3 linked regions of the Oryzias latipes genome follow. The protein of the gene in region 1 purifies or fractionates together with the protein of each later gene. This does not show direct contact. Links are inferred from orthologs where the notes say so. Each region holds a gene or a part of one and is shown in the gene's direction. Other genes may lie near its edges.

Region 1 (3,500 bases):
TCAGTTAAAGTTTTTCTTTTTAACACCCCCCCCCCCCCCCCCCCCCCCTTATCAAATGTGAATCTTGACAGACTATCTTCTTTTTCTACTTTCAGACAACAGTTCCTCCTGCAGGACTAAACTTCAACTGTTTCACTGAAGACACTCTGCTGCGCCACGCCCAGTTTGTGGTGGAACAGGTGGAGAGCTACGACGAGGCTGGCGACTCGGATGAGCAGCCCATCATCGTCACTCCCTGCATGAGAGACCTCATCAAACTCGCAGGAGTCACTCTGGGGAAAAGGTACAGTTAATACATTCAGACGCTTGTAAATAAATTTATATTTAAGAATTTTTAAGTTCATAATTAAGTGACATCACCTCAAAGTTAAAAAGAAAAAAGGGTCTCTCCTTTTGGTGGGATACTTAATTGCCCGACTATTGTATAATAAAGTAGAACAGTTTGGGATTATGACCATGTATCCTTAAAAACACTTAATTGTATTTAGATTGAACCCTTTTTAAATTTTATTTTTTAATTTTCTGCACGTCAGTCTTTGTCTCCCTGATGTCTAACATGTTTTTAACACTTCCTAATGCAGCACGCTGCTGTACTGGTAGGTGGTTCTTGCTGTGATTGCATCTTTATTCTGCTATGTGGTGTTTTTCTGTCAAACATTTAGAAAGTGAACAGAGTTCACACTGAGACACATACATGGTTTTTAAACTATTTTCATTTTCAGTTATTTTGATTTATATTGTGGTCTTTCAGTGTGATTTGCTTTTGTAAAGTTTTGTTGGAATAGTTTGGGATGAAACAAAATTATTTTAAGTCAAAGGTCAGAAATGTAAAAAAAAATGAAACTATCATGAAACTTGAAGAAAATGTTTCTTAAGAACTTCCTTTCTTTTTTTATCTTTTATGTTTATTTGTGTTTTGAGGTAAATTAATAGGCCTAGAGTTGGCTTTATTTTCAAGGTAATAGAGTAATTTTTAAAAAAAAGTCTTTCCAAAATAAAATTATTTCACGTTTTATACTTTCAAAATTTTAAAAGCCGTGAATTATCACTAGATTTATTTCTCTGACAAATTTTCCGAGGTAAAGAGTTTCAAAGAAAAAAAATCCTGTTTAAGTGTTAATATTTCATCTTTAAAGTTTTTTTCCATAGTTCTCCAAAGGTCAAAGGTTAAGTTTTGTTTGCTTGTACTGCTGCATGGCCTGATGCTGTGGTGTGTTTACGGCCAGGAGCTTCTTAGTTCCATCCCTCACCATACGATCCTGTGTTTGTGCTGCTCCAAAACCCGCCTCTCCTCTAAACGCTGACTCTGTTTTGTTGATAGGAGAGCTGCCAGAAGACAAGCCATCCGTCACCCGACGAAGATCGAGAAGGACAGCAAAGGACCGACGAAGGCAACAACCACTAAACTGGTCTACCAGATCTTCGATGCCTTCTTCTCTGACCAGATAGAGCAGAACGATAAAGAGAGTGCGCTCAAAAGGCAGCGTTGTGGCGTTTGTGAAGTGAGTTGGTTATTGTGTTCTTTGGTTTGTTTGTTTTTTGTGAAGTTACAACTCCAAATCTAACAAACTGGAATCTTTTTAGGTTTGCCAGTCTCCTGATTGCGGCAAATGTACCGCCTGCAAAGATATGATCAAGTTTGGAGGAAGCGGTCGAAGCAAGCAAGCCTGTAAACAGAGAAGGTGAGGATGTCTGAGGATCTCTTTGTGGGAAGTCCAAGTCATCACAAACGTTTTGATGGGAAAAAAGTTCTGGTTCAGTTTAACTTTGCCGTATATGCCGCTACAATCATTGCTGCAGGATAAATATTTTTTTTTACAGAAATCCTCGTGTCTCTTCTGCTTCAACTCTTCATACTTTTGTTGTGGTTGCGACAGAGAAATCCGATCTATTAAACTCTCTGATGGCCTTCTTTTCATGCTGTTTAGATGCCCTAATCTTGCTGTAAAAGAGGCTGAAGATGATGAGATTGTTGAGGAAGATGTTTTGGTAGAAAAGGCAAAGAAGGACGCCAACACCAAGAAGAAGAAACAAACTCAGTGCAAGCTTGCATGGATCGGAGAGCCTATACTGGTATGTCTTTTAGTTTTTTTGATTGATTTACTTAAGCCACAAATGTAACTGACAATGATCTGTTTGGCTTTAGTCGGAGGGGAAGAAACACTACTACAAGAAAGTGTCCGTCAATGATGAGGTTTTGGAAGTGGGAGACTGCGTTTCGGTTTTATCTGATGATCCATCCGTTCCTCTGTATCTGGCCAGGTACAAGAAAGAAAAGGTGTACTTTGGTGATGTTTTGTTTTACAGAGGAGTAACCTCCGTTCGTGTATTGTCTCTCAGGATCACTTCAATGTGGGAGGGTTCCCACGGGAAGACCTTCCATGCTCACTGGTTCCTTCGAGGGATTCACACAGCGCTCGGAGAATCCTCTGATCCACTGGAGCTCGTCGTCGTGGATGAATGCGAGGACATGCTGCTCAGTTATGTCCATGAAAAAGTGAACGTTATGTACAAAGCTCCCTCCAACAACTGGTTCATGGAGGTCAGTGGATCAAAGCTGATCAAAAGTTTCCAGATTCATGCTGTCATTTTCAGAAACGTTCACATGTGACGTTTAACGTTTTAGGGTGGAATGGATGTTGACCTCAAGGTGGTTGAGGATGATGGGAAGAGTTTTTTCTACCAGTTTTGGTATGACACAGAGTTTGCCCGATTTGAGACTCCTCCCAAGACTTCAGAACCAGAGGACTGCAAGTACAGGTGACTGATGTTCTGATGTTTGTGATGTTCTTTCTTTGATGCGATGGCTAAACTTGACTCTTCCTCTTCTTTTCTTTTACCTTCAGGTTCTGTGGCAGCTGTGCTCGCATTAAAGAGAGAGCAGAGCAGGAAGTGCCTCAAGCACTCGAACCTCTAGAGAATGAAAGCGGCGACACAAAGGTTCTGTATGCGCTGGCTTGCTTCAAAGGCGAGCAGTTTAAAATTGGAGATGGAGTTTACCTGCCTCCTGACTCCTTCAGTTTCAAGTGAGTGTTGTGTATTTCAAATGGTTTTCTTATGTACAGGGCACAAAATTAAATTGGATTATTGTTTTCCACCTTATATTTTCTGCGTTTAGTATGAAGCCTGCTAGCCCAGTGAAGCGCTCCCACAGGAAGGAGGACGTGGATGAAGATCTGTATCCCGAGTACTACCGGAAGTCCTCAGACTACATCAAAGGGTCAAACCTGGATGCTCCGGAGCCTTTCCGTGTCGGCCGCATCAAGGAGATCTTCTGTCATCGCCGTAGCAACGGAAAATCTGACACTGCAGACGTCAAACTGACACTTTACAAGTTCTACAGGTAGGAAAAGGAATTGAAAATCTGTTACTGAAATTTTTTTTATATAGATATATGTATTAAAGAAATAAACTACTGTTTTTTTTGTTTTTCCTCACCCCCCAGACCAGAAAACACTCACAAAGGTGTTAAAGCGAGTTACCATGCTGACATTAACCAG
Region 2 (2,498 bases), on another chromosome or scaffold:
TTTTCTGAGGATTTTTTTATTTGACAGAAAATCCAGTGCTAGATTAAATTACAGGGAAAAAGCCTTGTGTATAGGAAATCCTAAATTCATCTTCTTAACCGTTTTGTCCCTTTCGGGGTCGCGGGCGAAGGCAGGGGACATCCTGGACAGGTCGCCACAGATCACTCACCCATGCACCCTTAGGGGCAATTTAGAGGAACCAATGAACCAATGGAGCAAGGTTTTAAAACCATCATCACCTGCAGCACAGGCTGACCTCTGACCCCTGTCTGCAGATCATCTCGCAGGACGAGGCAGACCGCAGAGGGAAGGTCTACGACAAATACATGTGCAGCTTCCTCTTCAACCTCAATAACGGTGAGACGGGTCCCAGAGCAGCCAAAGGTCCAGTGCGGCTCCAGCCTTAAACCCTTTTTCTCTGCAGATTTCGTGGTTGATGCCACAAGGAAAGGAAACAAGATCCGCTTCGCCAACCACTCGGTCAACCCCAACTGCTATGCAAAGGGTAAGGGGGCGAGACTGTTAGCGACCGTCACTGGCTTCAGGCTCTTTTGTGAGGCCCTCTTCTGCTGTCTGCAGTGATGATGGTGAACGGGGATCACCGAATCGGCATCTTTGCCAAGAGAGCCATCCAGACCGGAGAGGAGCTCTTCTTTGACTACAGGTCAGTCCAACACCTCCAGTTCTCACCTGCAGCTCCACTATAATCGTTAGACACAAACAGATCAGCGTTTCCTGTTTTGGTGAGACGTAGTTTCAGAAGAACTTAGTCTTCCAAACATCAACCAGATGTGTCCTCGAGTTCCCGTCAGGTAAAGCTGGGAGACTGATGCTGTTTGTGGACGTCTTCTGTGCAGGTACAGCCAGGCGGACGCCCTGAAGTACGTGGGGATCGAGCGCGAGATGGAGATCGCCTGATCCCGACCTCTACCTCTGTGGCTCTGCAACACAAAGAAGGCCTTAACAACAAAGCAACACAATAACTTCAGGAAAACCAGGCTGCTTCTCCAAACTCCGCTCTTCAGGAAAACTGGGAATATTTGGACTCTGTGTTTCATCATTTTCCTCTTAAAACCCCTCTCCTCTGGGACTGCTGGACTGGTGAATGTTCCCTCCTGTGAGGCCTTGCCTCACGGCGTAAACATCCCCCAAATATTGGCACAGGAAAGACAAACTCCTCTTCAGGGACCGAAGTCCTCCAGCAGAACCGTTTGCCCTCTTTCTTCTTCTCAGATCCGGACCGACCTCCTTCAGGTGCTAGAACCAGCACACGCTCCAGCGCCGCTGCTCGTTCAAACCAAACAGGAGCTGAAGCAGTTCTGTCATGTTCCTCTGATGCTTTGATTGTCCATCTGTCCCCACATTGGTACTGACACTGCGTTCAGTTGGAATCAGATTATTGGTGCTGGTTCTCCGCTCTGGAACCAGATCCAGCAGGGGAAAAGAACCTGCTGGAGTGTAACAGATCGGAATCCTAAACTGATTCACATCAGGAGTCTGTTGATTGACAATCCAGTTTCTCTCCATCTTCCAGATGATGAAAGGTTTGATGGGAAAAAGCCGGCATGTCCCTGTCTGCTGTGCCTCGTCTCATGAACAATCACCGTGTCACCTGGACTCCACCCCCCCTCGGTGCTTAGACCAGCTCACTGCCTCTTCAAGATGTCAGCCGGGGGCTTCAGAGCATTCCTCTTCTCTGCTCTCTGGTGCTTGTAGACCCTCTGAACCCTGACCTCTCAGCAGCACCAGCTTCATTCTCCTGCTGAGAAACGTCTTTCTTCTTCTGCACCTGTAATTTATGGACTCGGTGGTGGGAGACTTCAGGGCTTCACGTGGTGCTTCTTCACCGGCAGGATTTCTGTGTTCCTCCTTTTCCTGTCCGGTTGGTTCTCCGTGATCGTTCTTCAGATTGGTTGTCCGGTCACATAGGTGCTGATTACTGTTTACAGGGATTTGTTTGTTCAAAGTGATGCAGAATAAAATATTGTGAAACGTTGAGATTCTGGCTTTTGCTGTTTCAAGGTCAAATGCTCCTGATGTGAAACTCGTCAGAGAAGGAAACGCAGTTTAGAGAAATCTGTTTTTATTTATCACACATTTAGAAAATGAACCACACTATACAAATGTCCACCGTTCAGTGATGAATCTGGCCTCCTGCATGAACCCATGTGAGATGTGGCCGCGGCGGCTGGATCCCGAGTGACTCCTGTCATCCTTGCGTTGTGGCGGTCACTGTGGTGCGGGTAGGCAGTAGCATGCAGAAACCTTTGGATGCGGCTCTCCTGACTGGCTGTAGACTACTTCATACATTTGCACTATATGCAGAGAAGGTTTTGTTTGTTCCTCTTTGAGTCTTTATTTACAATAAAAGGATGAAGCGAGCGAGTCGTACGGATGGAACGGGACAGGCGATCGCGCTGATGGAGGTTGGAGCTCCATCACTGCAGGGGGAGCAGTTCTTCGTCGGGTTGGTGGGTCTGTGTGGTCGCATGACTCAG
Region 3 (3,500 bases), on another chromosome or scaffold:
GAGCAACGCCGCCCCCCTTCCCTTCTCCTCCCCGTTGCTGAGAGCTGGGAGCCCGCCCAGTACATTTTCTACTTCAAACTATGATCCTGATTCAAATCAGAGACTTTTTTTTCCGTCTGCTCCTGTTTCACAACGATTCAAATGAAGAAATACTTAATTTTCATTAAATGTGTCCCCATTATGAGAAAAAAATGCCACAAGAACATGTTAAAAACACTGTTTTTAAACAAATCTTAAAAAAATATCTTCAAGATGCACAACTGTTTTGCATTAAAAGGAGAGGATAAATGATTTTACTGTAGGAATTATTGTTGTGTTGATCCTCTCATATCTCCTGACTGCTCTGCTCTTCTGTTGGTCTTCAGAAGAACAAGCAGACGAATACACCGAGGTTCCTTTGGGTGACCTGGACATCGCAGCTGCCGACAGTCTAACTCTTTCCCCTCCTCCTGGTGGGTTTAGTCTACAACTACATTTTTGTTGACCTCTGACCTCGAGTAGAGGCTGCCGTCTTAAATGAAAACAATGATACATCACCTTTGGTACCAGCTACAAATTTAGGGATTTCAATCCTAACTCCTCGACCACCATTGGGTAGCTTCGCGTTTGAACGGCGTTAGCGCGGCGAGCTCGCAAGAGGGAATGTCATCTCTTGTTTGCACAATTTTTACTGGAATATTGTGAACATTTAATTCAAGAACTGTCGGCTCAAGAAGAATGAAACGCTATAGCATGCAAAATAAACACACTAGGAATGTGGGCGTGGTTAACAAAAAACCTCAGTTGCCAAGGAAATTCAAGTTTACTTTTGCAGATTTGTCTAAAAATGACACAGAGCTGTTCGTCACCCCAGAAGATCAAACATATAATGGTTGCTATGGAGATAAAACCCACATAAAAGCTTTTTAAACAAGTGTTTTTTCAGGGTGGGGTGGGAAGGGGGTGTAGCTCATGGAGGTAATAAAACCGCATGAGCGGTTGAAGTTTAAAATCACTTTAAACTTCAACATTTAAAGTGAGCTTCAGAAATAAGCAAACATTTTCTCCAAAATGAGTCTTGAAGCATTTTGTGTTTGTGCTTTTTACGACAATCGAAAGGACACATGTTCAGATCTTGGTGGGTTTCTCCTCCATCTTCCCTGCAGAAGGAAGCGACGCCGGCGACACGGAGAGGCTGGAGGAGCTCCCCCTGTGCAGCTGCAGGATGGAGGCTCCTCGAATCGACAGCAGCTGCCAGCGCATCAGCAGACAGTGCATGGCCACGGAAAGCCTCAACGGAGAGGTCGGGGAACCAACCCTCGTCTCTTAAATAACAAATCCAACAAAAAATAAAACTGATGGAGAAATGAAACGCAAAAGTTCATCAGACAGCTCAAACTTGGAAGTTTTTTCCTTAAAATAAAGGATTTTTATGTTTGACATAAATGTCCCACCTTTCCGTGGCGTTTCAGCTGCGGGCGTGCACCAGCTGGACCGTGAAAGGTGAGACCATGCGACCATCCAGCCGGGTCTCCCTCATGGTGCTCTGCGACGTCCATCGCTCACACATGGTCAAGCACCACTGTTGCCCAGGGTGTGGCTACTTCTGCATAGCAGTAAGTGTGAGGAGGAACAGATGTTTGAAATATTTGGTCTGTTTGTGGCGAGTTAGAAATCCGTCGGTTTTCCTCTTTGTATGATTGTTTTAAATCTTCATTTTTCATATATTTCTCCTCATCTCTTTAGACTCTGCTTAATCCTGTTTTTAATTTTTCTGTATTTTCAGAGGATGTTTTTCTTTTGTCTGTCCACCTCAAACCTGGTCAGGTTTGGTCCATTCTCTTCATTTATATATTTTTAATTCTTCTTTTGCAGGGGACGTTCCTAGAGTGCTGTCCTGACCAGCGCATCGCCCACCGTTTCCACCGCGGCTGCGTGACCGTGCTGAGCAGCGGGCGCAGCAGAGCCAACGGCGGCGGGATGATTTTCTGCCCCCACTGTGGGGAAGATGCCTCAGAAGCTCAGGAGATCACCCTCCCCTCCTCCAGCGCCGCCGCAACCTCAGCCGCCACAGTCGTCACCATGTCCGCCTCCTCCACCACCACGCCATCGCTGCCCCCGACTGCCCCTTCGGGACCCTCCCTCAACGCCTCCACAGGAGGCACGAAGGACGAGAAGATGCCGGAAAGACCCGTTAGGTGAGCTCAGATGACCTTATGGCTGCCTTTGCTTGTGAAAGTGTGGTTTCTATTGATGCTTTGTGTTTTTCTTCATCAGCGCTCGGATGCAAAGCCACGGCTTCTTCACGCTGACCGTGGAGCAGCCGCCGCAGTCGGCGCCCGTTGCAGCGACCGTAACCGCCGCCACCACCCCTCCAGGAGAGGAGGGAGTGGACAGCGTGGGGCCGTCGCTCTGCATGCCGAATGGGAAGCCGGTCTGCCCGAGCGCACTTCCACCAGGACCCAGCAGGGCGGCGCTGCAGAAAGCGATCCTAACACAGGACTCAGAGAGGTCTGGTTTACAGTTTCATACAGCTGCACTGAGGATTTAATAAACCTGTAAAATGCACATATTTGAACTACATTTAAAATGCAACTGTTTCAAAAAAAATGTTTAAATCAGTTTAAAATAAAATACTTACCGGTAGTTATAGTCAAATTTTCAAAATGTTTTGACAAATGTGTGTTTAAAAAACATTTTTAGCAACACAAATGTGAAAAATGACTGAAGACAAATAAACAGACAAATATACACAAATATATGAACCTTATTTGAATTTTAAATTGAAGAAACTGAACTGTAATATTCTCAAGTATGCACCATGATGATGATATTCTACATATTATATTTTATTATATTTTTTACATTTTTGATACTTATCTCTCTATGTTTAAGCTCACATCCTGCAGAATTCAGTGGTTTTCCAAAACATTTTTTATTTAGGTTAACCAGAATAACTTTAAATTAGTGAGATATAACATGTGAGGGCTGCACATTTTTCAGAATATTCCAATCTTTAAACATCTTTTTCACAAAAACACACTTTAAAAGAGGCATGAAATATATTCTGATGGGTCCTGTGACCTTTTCCATCAGCTAAAATAGTTTAGTCATTGCTCCTCTTGCAGAAAAACGATCATTCATGTAAACATTAAAAAAAAAGCACAAACAAAGAAACAGTCATTTACCAACTACTGCTGTGAACGGAAATATTCCACACATTTAAACGTCTGCTTATTGTCCAGAAAATATGCTTCTCCATGCTTTCATTTTTTACAAAATGGTCCCAAGAACTCAAAACGACTACAGTAGGAAACGCGATACAAACTTTCAGAATAAAATAAGAAAATGATTTTTTTTTTTTTTTATTCCACAGGAGGAAGAAGCTGAGGTTTCACCCCCGACAGCTCTATCCAGCCGCCAAGCAGGGGGAGGGACAACGAGTGCTGCTGATGCTGAGTGTGTTTACTGACACAAACTATCATCTTTAATTTTTCTTTCTACCTAATAAGAGTATTTAA

The links. Proteins that work in one complex are often made in the same cells at the same time.
Region 2: the proteins of dnmt1 (region 1) and ezh2 purify together in Homo sapiens (affinity purification with western blotting; 6 studies listed by BioGRID and IntAct, with this or other methods). This does not show direct contact. The link is inferred for Oryzias latipes from reciprocal best matches to the Homo sapiens genes DNMT1 and EZH2.
Region 3: the proteins of dnmt1 (region 1) and ehmt2 purify together in Homo sapiens (affinity purification with western blotting; 3 studies listed by BioGRID, with this or other methods). This does not show direct contact. The link is inferred for Oryzias latipes from reciprocal best matches to the Homo sapiens genes DNMT1 and EHMT2.

Annotation. Positions count from the first base shown.
Region 1 is NC_019866.2:8,448,179-8,451,678, forward strand, and holds part of dnmt1 (DNA (cytosine-5)-methyltransferase 1), read left to right. Parts: intron 1-95; coding exon 96-283; intron 284-581; coding exon 582-596; intron 597-1,321; coding exon 1,322-1,502; intron 1,503-1,584; coding exon 1,585-1,682; intron 1,683-1,928; coding exon 1,929-2,073; intron 2,074-2,146; coding exon 2,147-2,262; intron 2,263-2,340; coding exon 2,341-2,542; intron 2,543-2,626; coding exon 2,627-2,760; intron 2,761-2,846; coding exon 2,847-3,026; intron 3,027-3,118; coding exon 3,119-3,343; intron 3,344-3,445; coding exon 3,446-3,500. UniProt on the Homo sapiens protein: Methylates CpG residues. Preferentially methylates hemimethylated DNA. Associates with DNA replication sites in S phase maintaining the methylation pattern in the newly synthesized strand, that is essential for epigenetic inheritance.
Region 2 is NC_019878.2:3,242,524-3,245,021, reverse strand, and holds the end of ezh2 (histone-lysine N-methyltransferase EZH2), read left to right. Parts: intron 1-275; coding exon 276-357; intron 358-424; coding exon 425-505; intron 506-579; coding exon 580-664; intron 665-857; coding exon 858-918; 3' UTR 919-1,998; downstream 1,999-2,498. UniProt on the Homo sapiens protein: Polycomb group (PcG) protein. Catalytic subunit of the PRC2/EED-EZH2 complex, which methylates 'Lys-9' (H3K9me) and 'Lys-27' (H3K27me) of histone H3, leading to transcriptional repression of the affected target gene.
Region 3 is NC_019869.2:5,424,690-5,428,189, reverse strand, and holds part of ehmt2 (histone-lysine N-methyltransferase EHMT2), read left to right. Parts: intron 1-365; coding exon 366-452; intron 453-1,145; coding exon 1,146-1,282; intron 1,283-1,451; coding exon 1,452-1,595; intron 1,596-1,854; coding exon 1,855-2,177; intron 2,178-2,256; coding exon 2,257-2,490; intron 2,491-3,355; coding exon 3,356-3,438; intron 3,439-3,500. UniProt on the Homo sapiens protein: Histone methyltransferase that specifically mono- and dimethylates 'Lys-9' of histone H3 (H3K9me1 and H3K9me2, respectively) in euchromatin.